2 linked regions of the Drosophila melanogaster genome follow. The protein of the gene in region 1 interacts with the protein of each later gene in a pairwise test. Each region holds a gene or a part of one and is shown in the gene's direction. Other genes may lie near its edges.

Region 1 (8,126 bases):
ATATTGTCCTACCAAAGAAGTTCAGATGGAGCTTGGAGGTGGAAATAGTTAGTATTAATTTAATAGTTAACAACTGTCCTGCTTATCAAAATAAAGTTTAATAAATATTGCGAATGGATGTAAACTTTTAATAAACTGTTTAGGTGCTAAATTCGAAAATCAAAAAGACCAGAAGAGATTTTCTTTTAAACGCAGTGTTATTTCGTGATTAAAATGATCCTGGGATTAAAGTTGCAAAATAATTTCTTAGCTGAAAACTTCAGATTATGATAAAACCACAAAAATATTATATATAAATAAAAGTAAAGCTGCGCGGGTGTTACAATATTAGAATGTCAGTATTCTAGTTCTTATAATACCCGTGATTTCTACCACAGGTCTTACTGTCACATACTTTGTATCGAGTCTAGCATATCATTTTACTCTTTGAGTAAGGGGTATAAAAGTAAACACACATTTAAGGTTTAAAAGTATGTAAAAGGAAGAGGGAAATGTTGCTCAGGAACAATATCGGAGTCGAACTCTCCATAACCGTCCGTCTGTCCGTTCGTATGAACGCCGAAATCTCAGGAACTATAAAAGCTAGACTGTTGAAATTAAGCATACAGATTCTAGAGATACAGATGTCGTCACGCCCACACTTCTGAAAAATGGTTTGATATTTTTTTTTACTTTTGAGCTAGTTTTTTAAATTTCTATCTATGGGCCAAAAAAAGGTTGCGTCGTCCACTATAACGCCCAAAAAACGCCCAAACCTGTCACGCACACAGTTTTGAAAAATTTTTAAACTTTTTTTCATTTTATTATTCCCAAAATAAATATTGAAATTTCTCGTTCGCACTTCCAGCTGAGTAACGGGTATCTGATAGTCGTGAAACACGACTATAGCATTCTCTCTTGTGTAGTGGCGACTGAGTCAAGTCGTGAAAAGTTCATGTCGTTGAGATATTATAATATATAAAAATCAAAAATATATATGATGAGTGACGCCTGACTTAACCCTACATCGAAAAATAATTAAAAAATCACCAAACAGCCATTCCACACCGAGAGAAATTAAATTATATTTTCATACTATAAATTATAAGGTTTTACAATAACTTATAAATATGTGTACCCGAGGAGGAGACTTAGTTTACATAAATAAATAAATAAAATAAAGGATTTTAGTGTTTATAACCACACTTTTCGATTGATATTTTGTCATGACCTATGTGTCCTGCCACCCACAGTGCCACTTAATATATTAACTTAGCTATTAATATTAATGGGACATTTTGGAAAGGCTTTTGCAATTAATAAAAGTTTCCTTAGGGTTTTAGTTTGAAAAGTGTTAGTCGAAGTTTCGTGCGATGTGTAAGAGTTTCATGATAATTTTGCATCTCCCGTTTTTGATTTGCAATGGATATTTGGTGTGTTCTAGTTAAATATAATTGGGTGTATACCGTCTTAATTGTTTTATTTAGCTTATGTCTCTACTCTTATCAGATTTCAATATTTCGATGACTGAAGGTAATTTCATATTTTATAAATATATCAACATCATTCCATAATTATTAATATTTTAGAATGTCTAGATCTGTGGACACTCCTTGGTATTTTTCAATTAATCAATTCTGCCTATGGTCTCGTTTTGGTTTGTGCCAAGTGTCAGGTTTGTCACCATTGGCGATCCTTTATTAATTGCATTATTAATGTTTCTTATTCATTAAGTTTAAGCTTATAATATTTTCTTGGGGCTTGTTGTCTTCATGGGTTAACTATATTCATATTGCGTGGGTTTTGGGATACTGCCAGAAACATAGCTCCCAGTTTGGGGTGGTCGAAGCCATTACATCTGCCTATTTGGAGGGTAAGAATAAACACGTTTTTATCTTTAGACTTAACAAAATCATTTAAAATCAAATTTGTTTGTTCAGCTTTCAGTATATGCACACTGTACGTTGTGTTTACGTATTATCGTGAATTTGTGGTAAGCTTATACAAACAACTGAATAAAAAGATTAAAATAGAAAGTTAGGTCAACTCTACTATCAGATACTCGGTACTCGCCTAATGAGAGTGCAAGGAAGATATAAACGTACGAAAGCTACTGTTTCTCAAATTGGCGCCATTATTAAACCTATTGCTAAATGCCTTGGTACACTAAATCATATTTTATTAACGTTTTTATGGCCCAAATGTGTTGGGCATATCTATTGAAACCAGCAAGACTAATAATAAAGCAAGACTAATCAAAAGTGTCTTTTCTACACTACAAGTAAAGGGTATAAATTAGCCACAAAACTCGAATAGGTTTTTTACTTATCTTCTATTCAATTATCTGTAACGGGTATACGTAGTCGAGAAACTCGCTTCGGTAAATTTTTTCCCACTTCCACTATGACCTAACCGCAGTGAGTGTTTTTTCCACTCTTTCATTGGTATTCATAAATTAAAGTATTAAGTATCAAAGTTTAAAGTATTATTCATAAATTTTAATTTTAAATTTGACTATTCACATTATATTTCACATATTATTCTTCCTACGTTTAAAACTGATTGTTTTGAGATTATACGTTTATTTTATGAATAGCGATTGTATTGAATGCTAGTAATGATTATATCTTCATTTTTAGCAAACATTAAACTAGTTTAAAACAGACATTGCCCATATTTTAAAAGCCACTTCTGGGACCCGCCACTCAGCTTTTCTTGTCAGCCTGGCAACGTTGATGTCATTCGGCACGCAAAAGCTACTTCGAAAGCTTCGGAGAAGAGATAGAGATAGCCGGCAGTAGAAGCGCCGTTCAGTGAATTTCTAGCCGACGGACAGACCGCACCTGATCCGAGTCATTCGCCCATGAGTCATTCAACTCGCTGCGGGAAAGTGCCTCGCTGATTCCGACAATTTCCCACCATTGGTGGTGCTACGTTGCACGCTGTTAGATTGAGGAAATTCGACATAGTTGCGACGATCTTCCAGAAAGTATCGATAACGTACAGGGAGCCCAGAGAGAGATAGAGAGATATAGAAACATCGCTGATCTCACTGATCCGATTCGATCTCAAAGAGAGCGGAGGAGTACGAAAACAAGTTTCGCGCAGCTTGCTCTCTCTTCAGGCGGCTCTCCAGGAATTTCAGGCATCTCGACCCCCAACGAATCCGAGGAGCATCATCCGCCATGGCGTCCACGTCGAGTGTGAAGCTGATTGTTTACGCCCTGGACGTACTTTGCACAGTGAGTTACTTTCGCTAGTTTCCCGCCCACACCCGAGATAGCCCACTCCAGCGATTACGTCAATTGTATGCGTTGTAAACAAGAATACGGTACAACGACCACTTAAGTTGGTTTCGCAACGATCCCAAACAATGCACGAAATATATCATCTTATCAAATGGCACAACTTTAAGTGTACCTGCGTACATATATACACGGCATATTTTAGTATGGGAACCGTCGCCATGTGTTAATTTTTGGTTGGCAGGAGTGTAAAACACACCAGTAAAACCGTCTAATGGTCGAACCCAATTCCCCGATTATAGTTTATTGGTTTATTTATACAATTTAATTGCAAGCCGCGGTGAGAAGGACCAGATGGCCCCAGAGGTCACAGCATATATAATACGATCGGGCTATCCGTCCGCTGGCAGCTCATCAATTCGAAATTTTCCAATCGATATCTGGACTTGCAGCAGGGACTCGGCTTACTCATGACTTTCGGACGAATCCATTGCAATCGGAAAACAGTCACACTCGTATCAGAGCTAAATCGAAACAGCTAGCGAATTAATCACCGATGTTTGCACCTCGCCTTTCATTTTCGAATCGAAACATCATCGCTGTATGAGCGCCTCACGTCACCTTTTAAACTTATCCCAATGCTACAGAGACTGAATTTGAATAATTCAAACCCACTCAAACAAGCGCGTTAGCAAACAAGCTATCCGCTGCGATACCGCCGTATCAGATATGAATAGTAATCGAGTGACCTTGTCTGTGTGCGCAGTCCTGTCCGAATTGTTTGCTGTGGGTGTCCTTCTTCGACTTCCCAGTCCCTAGTTTCCCACACCACGTTCCCGCCAACTTCCTTGGCGTCTATCCCTGTCGCCAGATGGGCTAGCCTGGAGGACGCCCCCGAATGGGCTCTCCAACTAACGCCTTGTGCGAGGTCAAAACACTAGAAATGGAACACTAGGCCACAAGTACCAGGACTTTAGTTAAATGGGTTGCTGACGAAGGTAACTATTGCCAATTCAGTGAGTTTCACTCGCAAGGAAAGATAAGCTGAATAACATAACAAACACTATACAATAACAACATGTCTATGAATGTGTATTGCCGGCCAATTTGAATTTGGACGGCTTGATTGTGGGATTTCAGCGGTCTCTTATCAAAGCTATCAAAGCTATCAAAGCTGTCGAGCGCCACCCTTATAATTATCTAACTAATATTAAATATATATATATATATATATATTCATAGCGTTGAAGCTTATCAAATTTATGATAAAGTGTTACCCTTTACATGTAATTAATCTTGATTTATTGTAATCTTTTTGAAAGTCTTCAACTTGAACTTAAATCGTGTTGTATGTACGCACGTATTCTTATCTTATCAGATAAATTTAAGGCAGACAATTCATTTCGGTCTTCGGTACTAGTAATTGTATTACTTGAGCTAAACGAACAACATATATGTATTTCTAATGAGGTCAGAATGCTCATTCCGTTCGAGAAGCTCCCAAGATTCCCTACTAATATTGGACTTGTGATCCCACAGCTGCTAGCCTTGGTGCTGATATCCTTCGGCATCTATGTGGCGGTGTCCTACAACCTAAACGAGATCGGTCAGCTGACGGCCTACGGCTACGTGGGACTCGGGGCTGCTGCCCTGCTGGTTGTCCTTTGGGGATACCTGTCCGCCTGGCGCGAGAACGTGTGCTGCACAGTGACGGTAAGTCAAGGATGGGTGTCTACTGTTAAGCATGGTGGTATACGGTTCTATTTCCTTGCAGTTCATTATTTTCCTGTGCCTGGTCATCATTGCCCAGTTCGCCGTCGTCTACTTGCTGATCACCCAGGAGAAGACGGTGGCCTCCAACCTGGCTAATGCCCTGGAGGCCACCTGGGAGGAGGAACTGAACAGCCCTGGTGCCATGTCGCTGTACCAGAACTGGGTGAGTTGACAGCAGGGCTCTAGTTAGAGTCATAAACACTGATAATCACCCATATACCCGTAGTTCCAGTGCTGCGGTCGTGGAAGTCCCCAGGATTACATCGTCAACGAACGACTGCCGCCGGAGACATGTTTCCGAAACCACGACAAGAGCAAGCCGGAGAACCTGATCCACACCGGCTGTCGGGTGGAGTTCGAGAACTACTGGCAACACTTGACCAAGATTTTTAACATCCTGGCCCTCGTACTCATTGGCTTCGAGGTGGGTGTCCCAAAAGCGAACGACTGAGCGCTGTTTTTAAAATGTCCCCATCTCTTGCAGCTCCTGCTGAGTGTCATCTCTTGCCGCCTGTGCAACAGCATTCGCAACGATGCTCGACGTTCTTACTTTTAGACAGTGAAACCTGAAAATACTCAACTGGGATTGGCAGTCGACTTGTTAAATTTCTGAAGAATATTACACTATTAATTAATTGGCTTGGCAGGTCTTGAGCGTTATTCAAGACTGGGGTATTGCTGTTATATTTTCGAAATTGAAACTCATTTAATCAGCACAGTGCACTGAAATGATCCCTTTTCACACGTTGATTTCAGTGAAATACAGAGGGCAACTCACAACTAAGATTAAGAAAAGTAAAATAGATTTAGTTTTATTTATTTCAACATACTTTTAAATAAATTTATCGAACCAAAGTCAAGCACCTACTTCATTCTGTTATTATTGAAAAACACATTATATTTAGCGTGTTTGGGTCGTGTTTCGTTACTATTCTAACCTAATTAGTTATCCATATAGTTGCACACACCTGATTAGTAACGTATTGGGGCACACATTGTGGGGCACATTTGTGGTTTGCTTGTATAAATTATACAAACGATATTATATTTAAAAATAAAACTGCCGGTTATGTTGCTCACACATAGAAAAGCTTTGGTATCCAAAAAATAAATACACACGATGAACGTTTCAAATGGAAATTAATTATAAACCGAATATTTCTACTGGCAAAAATAAAATAAAAAAAGCGAGAATGCTGCAGTCAGAGTACTATTACTATGAGATGCGACACACCCTCAAAGTAATCAGGGTATATTAGCTTTCCAAGCCTGTTGCACTTTTTGGAAAAAATATGATATTTTTAATGAAGTGTTTTATTAAAGGATCAGTACAATCGTCGTTCTGTATTTCAGCAGATAAGTCAGCTTATGTTGATATCGTGGTGTTTTTAGGAAATGTTTGTTCCTTGCTCACGTGCACAACATACCCTATTTTTTCGAGTAAGGGGTATAACTAGCATGGGCCACCGCGTCTTCCATTTTATTCAAATAGATCGTCATCTATTTCTGTTTTCTGTGTACACGCTAACGAACATATATAAGTAAATATCTAGTTGAGCACAAAATCATTGCGCTCTTGCGGCCAAATGTTTCGATTCCACACGTTGTGCCGAAGCTTTCGTTCCGATTTCCGCCGTTTGTTCGCCAAATGCTTTTCGCGCTATCAACAAAGTCGGAACGTTTGGAAAAGTTTTCAGTTTTCAGTTAACAGTCGAGCGGTGAGCATGAGCCCGGTTTTGGGTAACCCCAGCAACCGTTAGATCCGAAATAAATATTTTCCGATTGTCAACAAGCCGCGAGTTGCCAAGTGTTATAAATAATACGCGTAACCTCCTGCAAAGAAACAATAGATATATAGTTTCCGAAAATTGGATTGGCAAGATGGCCTGCTCCACAAACGTTTTGAAGGGCTTTGCCCTCTTTTGGGATATTATCCTCGCTGTGAGTATTATATACTATAAGCATCCATAAAGATTAAGCATTACATGTTTTAAGCGTTAAGGGGCAGGTATTTCTGTCGCGCAACTCTGGTGACCCCAAACAGCACGACGACAGTAATTAAGCTGAAGCTCTAGCCAAGGCTAATTGCAGGAAAACAACTTAACTTTGGCCAAATGCCAGTTCTTGCCCAAGAAACGTTCTCCAGCTTCGCCCAAGTTCATTCACAAATCCATCAGCCTTTGACGTGACATTTGTTTATTTCATTGCACAGAATTCAAACATTGGAGCGCCTCCTTAAGCATAAATATTGTTTTGCTATTTTTGTTTGTTTTTGTGTTTCATTTTCAAATTCACTTGAATGTTGAGGCAAATACTTTTACATCAGCCAGATAGGGAAAAACTCTTCTAAAAGGCACCATGTTCTAGCGAATTTCACCCGCACAAAAATATCTTTAAAAATGATATAATATTTAGATATTTGCTTGTATTTTGTTTATTTTCTATTGAGCTTTTTATTTGGCTTTCAACATTTTATGTCTGCCAAGTCGAAACTTGGTCACCCACGCCATCACTTAACCCTGAACAAAATCTACAGAATTTTTATTAGATATTCGCTGTTATTTTAGTTGGATTTACTTGAACCAGATTTTGGCTTGGGCCGTGTGTACATATACATATCTGTTGATGTCATTTCCTAGACGTTTTGGGCATCTTTCTGGCGTTTGATTCCATTGGAATGCGACTGAAGGCCGAGGAAATGCCAGCGCGCACCACACGGCGTATGCGCGATTTTCCGCATTTGGTTCCAGGCGAGTTAACTCTTGAATTGCGCGTTGAGAGATTTCAATTATGCTGGAGCCCAGGCTGAAACTGAAATTACTTCATTATGTTTTAGGGTAGGGCTTAACCTTTGTGTCTCAGCCTTTAGTGCTCCCATGCCGACAGCAAACCCACATAAATCTGGTCCCCTGTACGTTTTTGAACATTGATTCCGAGCTCTGGCAATGGCATTTGATCTGCCTACTCAGCGGACTACTGTCCCCCTTATCAACGGATATGCAAATTAGTTGTCCGCACTGCTCTGCCGAAGTCCGACCTTGGTTAGTCTGGTGATAATTGCGTTTAATTGCTTGTCTGCGTGGGGAAATGGGAGCAAATTAATAAAACGTTGCTGTTTCTCTGTTGCCA
Region 2 (7,139 bases), on another chromosome or scaffold:
ATGCTTATTCTTTCCTTCTATTCTCTTATCTATCCTTCCCGTTCTTCCCATTACTCTTAAATTACGCTTGAACACTGAAACCTATAAGCACATCGATCTATTCCTTTGTTCCACAACTCACTAACAATCCACATCATTTAACTGGAATTTAAATTTGCTTTTGAACTTTCGTGTTTGCCAAAGCCTGCTAATTTAGTTTACTTTTCCTGAAAACGACATTTAAACATTTTCTTTGAAAAATGCAGGTGCACATCGTTGCGGCACATACGAGACAATGATGAGAAGGACTCAGCCTTCCGTGGAATGTGTCATATGATCACGGTGAATCCAGCTGGCGTGGTAGCAGACTTTATATTCTTCTGCGATGCCATCGCTTCCTGGGTTAACCCACCAGAGGATCTGCATCAGATGATACAGAAGGTTTGTACCCTACAGGTAGTAACTATTTTCTTTATTTCACACATGTTTCTTTCAAGATTCTGCACGGTTTTAAGACCCAAGTGGGCGAGGAGAACTGGCGTCGATTTGTGGAGCAATTCCCGCCAACCTTGGCCGAGCGCCTGACCACAATGTATAACATCTAAGGCTAGCCATGCCATAAAACACCCACCTTCACCCATTAGCGAGCCAAGCAGCAACTTTTTAACTAGACAATTATGTACAAGTATGCGTAATAAGCGTGTCGTCTTTATCTTTAGCCTCCTTAAGTTATTCGATGCAGTTCGAATGTTAAGTTAACATTGAAAATCTAAGCTTATAGAAATCGAAAAAAACAGCAAATCCACATAAAAGAAACTACATAACTAGATTTAAATCCACAAACATATATCGAAAAATCGAATAGAGAAGAATCGTATATATTTGAATTCAAGCTAGAGGATCTTTGATCTGTAGAACCTCTTTAGGCACACGACTGTCCGCTTACAGCATATAAAATGCCTTTCTTGTGCAGAAAACTTAGTAGGAACCACTAGAAAATTATGTGTTCCGGCCGTACTTAACCGGAGTCAGTGCTATAGCAGATATGCCCCATTCTCCAATACACTCTGCCCCAAAACCCAAACCGAAAATAGAGTTGAATATGTTAAACACACGGGTGTTTCTCATATAGTAATAGAAAAGCTAAATGAAAAATCGTCGAAACTAAATGATATTGCGGGTCCTCGTCGCGGTAATTAAAAACTAAATAACTAAATAAAATCTTTAAAGGATGAAAGTGTTGGGTCTCCTGTGAAATCCTAAGATCAGAAATGGAAAAATGGATTCAATGGCAGGTGCACACAAAATTGTTACAAATCAAACAAAGACTGATGTTCAACTCCGTTCAAAAACCATAGAAAGCATTCATCAACAGCGGATTCCAATTTCCCAGAAGTATCCAACACTTTCGTCATTTATATAACAAACAAAAAATGGAATCGAAAAAAATCGTCGCGTTTCGGGTTCTAACGGTTTCGCGTTCGCGTATTTTCGTCGCTCGTTCGTAATCGTAATCGTCGTTCGTGGTATCTCGTCGGGTAAAACAAAAGAAAAAGGAAAAAAGGATATAATACAAGGATAACGATAATATTGCAACTGTTACTGATACAAATTTACTGATACACTTAATGATATTCATATGCTATACAAAATTAGGTGTTTTTTTACGCATTGTGAAAGCGAAAAGCAAGCAAATAGGGAAACATTGTAAAATTGAGATTAGGATTTTGTTGAATATCTTATTTATTTTCCATTAACTGAATACAAAAGCAACCATTGACTGATCACTTTTTAAAGTATTATTATATAATTTTTTTTTGTATAGGGACAAGTGTAATTAATGAACTATTATTATTTTCTTCGAACTTTTATATCATTTGTATAGACTCGTGTTTTGCGTAACCTCTATAATTTACGATCTTTGTACAGAACAAATTTTTTACAATTATATGATTAGGTGTAAAGTGTACTACTAAATGAAAACAAAAGTCTTTGAAATTGTCGCGGAACAACTAAAACATACGAAAAATAAAACTAGGGAAAACCAAACTCAGTCAAATACAAAATAAATGGATGATTATGAAGCGTAAGAAGAGTAAGTAAATCTAAGTAATAGTATTACGTAATTATGCAAACCGTGTTTACGTTTGTGTTTTTATTTCGTTTCGAAAATGGGGGAACGTGTGATAATAAAGTAACTTCGGGTCGTTCGTTCGCGTCGCGTTAAACTCAATCAATTTAAAAACTAACAATAAGGGACTTTCGCCCCCGAGTCCCAAATAATAATCGCAATACTTGATAACTTGATAATAATACGGTCTAACTAAAGCGGAAGCATAGCAATTGCTAAAACTGAAACTAAACTAAAATGAAAAATCGTGATTTCGTTGTACCTTAATCCGGATTCATCGCGGAATCCGGTCGCGTTCGCGTGCGTTTGTATCTCTCTCGGGTGATCTTAGTGATTAGCGTTTAAGCAGAAAAAAAAAATGAAAACAAAAAAACTGAATCAACACTACTACAACTACACATAAACATACAACATTAAACATGTACACACCACACATATACAGCAATATGAAATATATTTATAGATTTTATGCAGAGTAGGTTTTTGTTTAAAATATTATTTTTCATTACGATAGGGCAAACCAAAAAAAAAAGTAGGGAACATCAAATAAACTAAATGTTAGGTCAAGCTAGGGCAAGAAACAAATTAAAACAGCAAATCAAAAGTTATTTGTGCAGCATTAGAGAATTTTTTTCTTATTTCTTTCAATATTATCGTGTGTATGCTATTAAATCGATGAAGAGAACATACCAACTGTTTTTAGTACTTTACACAATTATGATATTTAACTTCCGTTGTTTTTTTTAAGTAAATCAAGACCAAGCCTAGTAAATATTGTTTTACCATCTATATCTTCATAAACAGCACGTAAAACTTTTCGTTCATCGAACATTCAACTCTGATAGGTTTATATCTCTAATCGTTTAAGCTTACAACCACTGTCTAGGCTAAATCAAATGTTCTGCAAATGTCTAACGAAATTGAATATATATACGGGCCTATATGCATAAATAACATACGCATATATATGAAATACATGCATGTATGTATAATCCCTACATCAAACTATATGGATTACAGATTATTCTTCTGGAGTTTATATATTTGTTTGGCTAAAAACTCCATTTCAAAATTCAACTATCAAGATTTGTGTAAATTGAAAAGTATATATATGAATAAATATGTATGTATAACAAACATTACCCATCAAGATAATGGATTTTCTGATTTGTATGGGATATGAGTAGGCCGAGAACAGAGTGTCATTCTCTGTCACTTCGGTAGCCCCCTTTGGCAGACCTTACCCCACATTTATCATACAAAACCCGGCTAACTTTTGCATCAGCAGCAAAATGGCATGGACACCACGGGATGAAGGTCTGCAGCAGCTCCTACCGATACTCAAGGACTCACAGTCTCCCGGTAAAGCCACGCAGCTAGCCGTGCAAGAGGTAAGTACCGAAGACCCAACTGATTTAGCAATCCTCATCGGGTGCTTCCCGGACTTCAACAACTATCTCGTCTATGTGCTCACGAATCTGAAGACGGAAAACGAGGCAACGCGCTCCATGAGCGGCCTAATCCTCAAGAACAACATTCGCATGCACGACATCACTCTGCAGCCGGAACACCTGGAGTATATCAAACACCAGTGCCTGCAGGCAGTGGGCGACTCTTCACCCGAGATCCGTGGCACCGTGGGCATTCTGATTACCACCATTGCCAGCAATATCGGTCTGCACAACTGGCCGCAGCTGCTTCCATCTCTCTGCGAAATGCTCGACAACCAGGACTACAATGTGTGCGAAGGAGCATTCAGTGCTCTGCAGAAAATTTGCGAGGACTCTGCCGGAATTTTGGAAAATATGCCATTAAATACAATGATTCCAAAGTTCCTGGAGTACTTTAAGCACAGCAGTCCAAAGATCCGCTCCCACGCCATTGCCTGCATCAACCAGTTCATCATCAACAGATCACAGGCCCTGATGCTAAACATAGACAGCCTCATTCAGAACCTCTTAGACGTGCCCTCGGATAATGACCCAGCGGTTCGCATGAACGTCTGCCACGCATTGGTTGGTCTGGTGGGGGTGCGCATAGACCTTATGATGCCGCACATGTCGCAGATTATTGAGGTATGAAGTTAAGGTTTAGTTTTAAATTTTAACGTAATGAAAAATCTCTGTAGCTCATTTTGTTGCGCTCCCAGGACGCCGATGAGAACGTGGCTCTGCAGGCCACCGAATTTTGGCTTTCATTGGGAAAGCAGAGAAACTGCAGGGATATACTTTCTCCCATTCTATCCCAGTTAGTCCCAGTTCTTGTAAGCCGAACGCAATACACGGAGACGGACATTATTCTTCTGAAGGGCGATGTAGGTGAAGATGACAAGGAGCCTGATAGACAGCAGGATATCAGTCCACGTTTCCACATGTCCCGCGTACACGGTATAAGTAATGAATTGGATGAAAACTCGGACGACGATATGTGGGATTCGGCATTGAACTTGCGCAAGTGCAGCGCTTGTGCTCTCGACATTATTTCGAAAATTTTCGGCGATGTCTGTCTGCCCCTTATGCTGCCCATCCTAAAGGAGGCGCTATTCCACCAGGAATGGGTGATCAAAGAAAGTGGTGTGATGGCCTTGGGAGCTATTGCGGAGGGCTGCATGCAGGGCTTGATCCCACACTTACCAGAGCTGATTCCCTACCTAATTACCTGTCTGTCTGACAAGAAGCCACTCGTACGCTCCATTACATGCTGGACGTTCATGCGATTCCCCAAATGGGTGCTCAACCAGCCGCACGACAAGTACTTGGAGCCTCTAATCGAGGAACTGCTGAAGTGCATCCTGGACTCCAATAAGCGCGTTCAGGAAGCTGCGTGCTCTGCCTTTGTCGCTCTGGAGGAGGAGGCCTGCACGCAACTGGTGCCCTACCTGGAGAATATGCTAAAGACGTTCGTCTTAGCCTTCTCCAAGTACCACCAAAGGAATCTACTGATAATGTACGATGTCGTTGGTCTTTTAGCGGAGTCCGTCGGTCATCATCTGAATAAACCGCAATATATTGACATCCTAATGCCTCCGCTAATGGATAAGTGGAACCTGGTAAAGGACGACGACAAAGATATAATCTATTTGTTGGAGTGCCTATCGAGCATCGCCACTGCGTTGCAGTCCTCCTTTCTGCCCTACTGCGACTCGGTGTATCGAAAGGGCATCTCCATTATTGAGGAGACTATCAACCAGGACATGGTAAGCAACTGTGTTAGCTTCAATGTAAATCTATCAATGAACTCGACTCCTTTCAAGATGTGTAAACAAAGCCAATCAACCGATTATCCTGACAAGGAGCGCATGGTTATCGCCCTGGATCTGGTGTCTGGCTTGATCGAGGGGCTGCAGAGCCTCATAGAGCCACTGGTGGCCAACAGCAAACTTTTGCAGCTGCTCTGCCAATGCATGGGCGACGTTATGCCCGAAGTAAGTTTTACCTAATTAATATACTCGTGTATATGGGATTAAAATACATATTAGGTTCGCCAATCATCGTTTGCCCTGCTGGGTGATTTGAGCGGGGCTTGTTTTTCCCAGGTATACCCCTACACGGCCCACTTTATTTTGATCTTGGTGCAAAACCTAAACCCCAGCGTTGTTGGTGTGTGCAACAATGCAGTTTGGGCCATAGGGCAAATCTGCGTTAAGTTGGGTAAGTTGGCTTGGTTCTCTTATAATGTAACAAAAAAGATTTTTTGTATTTCGCCCCTAAGGTGAGGAAACCAAGCCGTACGTACGCCTTCTGCTTAGCGAACTAATGATCCTGATGAACCGGCAGGACATTCCAAAAAATCTTTCGAGGAATGCGGGTAAGTAATTTGGCCTGATTTAAAGTAATTTATTATTATTATTCTTTTTTTTAAGCAATAACACTTGGGCGCCTCGGAAATGCATGTCCAGATGAAGTGGCTCCCTATTTGCCCGAATTCCTACGCCAGTGGTATGTACACATTAAATGCTTCATTTGCTCATTTTTTAAATTATCCTTTCTTCCACGAAATGAAGGTGCTTGTTATTGCGTTACGCATATGACCACGACGAGAAGTATTTGTCTTTTATGGGAATGTGCCATATGATCAGGGAGAATCCAGGAGGCGTGGTGCCCGACTTCTTATTCTTTTGCGATGCCATTGCCTCGTGGGACAATCCTCCACAGGATCTGCGTCAGATGATTCGAAGAGTAAGTTATTTCCGGAAATTATTAATTTTCGTCTTTCAACAATACTCGTTTGTTATTCTAGATTATCGAAGGCTTTAAGAACCAAACGGGTGCGGAGAATTGGCTAATTTTTTTGGGGAAATTTCCACAACCACTGGCCTGCCGGCTAATCGAACTGTACGACATCGAATACTAATCCGAAGCTATCCAGCCAATTATGTATTGCTTCAATCATCATTCTAATTTTACTAAGTAACCAAAGCCCCAAAAAAAGTCAGCTATTGAGTAATATACGATTTTATATAATCATTTATAATATGAATAATTCAACAAAACCTGAAATATTTTTGTAAATAAAGTCTCAATAATTGTAAAAATGTATGTTACACCATTTAAAACTTATGACATAAAAAAACAAAAGTTTTAGTTTCATTAAAATGTTTATTTTATTGGTTTATTGGAATTACAAAAATGCAAGATTCTCTTAAGGAGTTTTAAAAAGGATATATAAATGTAAATGGCTTTAATAGAATTGGCACGCAGTTTGGCTTATAGTACTAGGAATATATACGACTGGCATCTTTGCTAAGGATCTATTACTTTGAAGACCTTATGACTTTTTTATGACCCGTCGATTTTGTTCGTTTGAAATTTGATCGTTCGTTGTCCTTTGATTAGCAGTTGTCGGCAAAAGAAGATTCTTCCTGGCAGTTTTTCGTAGTCGTTGTCCAAATAAATCATAGGTCCTTAAGTCGTTCCGAAGTTCTTTATTAGTTGAGGGGACAATAGCCCTGCCAAATATCGCCAACGACCATGTTCGGCGTGATGTTGATCATCCTTTGGTTAACCTCCACCTTGCTGATGCAGCCCTT

Evidence for each region.
Region 2: the proteins of Tsp42Ef (region 1) and CG8219 interact in a two-hybrid assay, tested with the Drosophila melanogaster proteins (one large-scale study listed by BioGRID).

The regions. Positions count from the first base shown.
Region 1 is NT_033778.4:7,022,221-7,030,346, forward strand, and holds Tsp42Ef (tetraspanin 42Ef), read left to right. Parts: upstream 1-2,789; 5' UTR 2,790-3,164; coding exon 3,165-3,221; intron 3,222-4,763; coding exon 4,764-4,937; intron 4,938-4,998; coding exon 4,999-5,160; intron 5,161-5,223; coding exon 5,224-5,421; intron 5,422-5,481; coding exon 5,482-5,553; 3' UTR 5,554-5,862; downstream 5,863-8,126. Other genes in the region: Tsp42Eg (tetraspanin 42Eg), read left to right, coding at 6,879-6,938.
Region 2 is NT_037436.4:6,197,138-6,204,276, forward strand, and holds CG8219 (uncharacterized protein), read left to right. Parts: upstream 1-3,335; 5' UTR 3,336-3,402; coding exon 3,403-3,501; intron 3,502-3,594; coding exon 3,595-4,185; intron 4,186-4,238; coding exon 4,239-5,306; intron 5,307-5,363; coding exon 5,364-5,534; intron 5,535-5,588; coding exon 5,589-5,760; intron 5,761-5,821; coding exon 5,822-5,917; intron 5,918-5,972; coding exon 5,973-6,048; intron 6,049-6,113; coding exon 6,114-6,288; intron 6,289-6,349; coding exon 6,350-6,463; 3' UTR 6,464-6,639; downstream 6,640-7,139. Other genes in the region: Tnpo (transportin), read left to right, coding at 246-420, 477-584; LanA (laminin A), read right to left, coding at 7,038-7,139.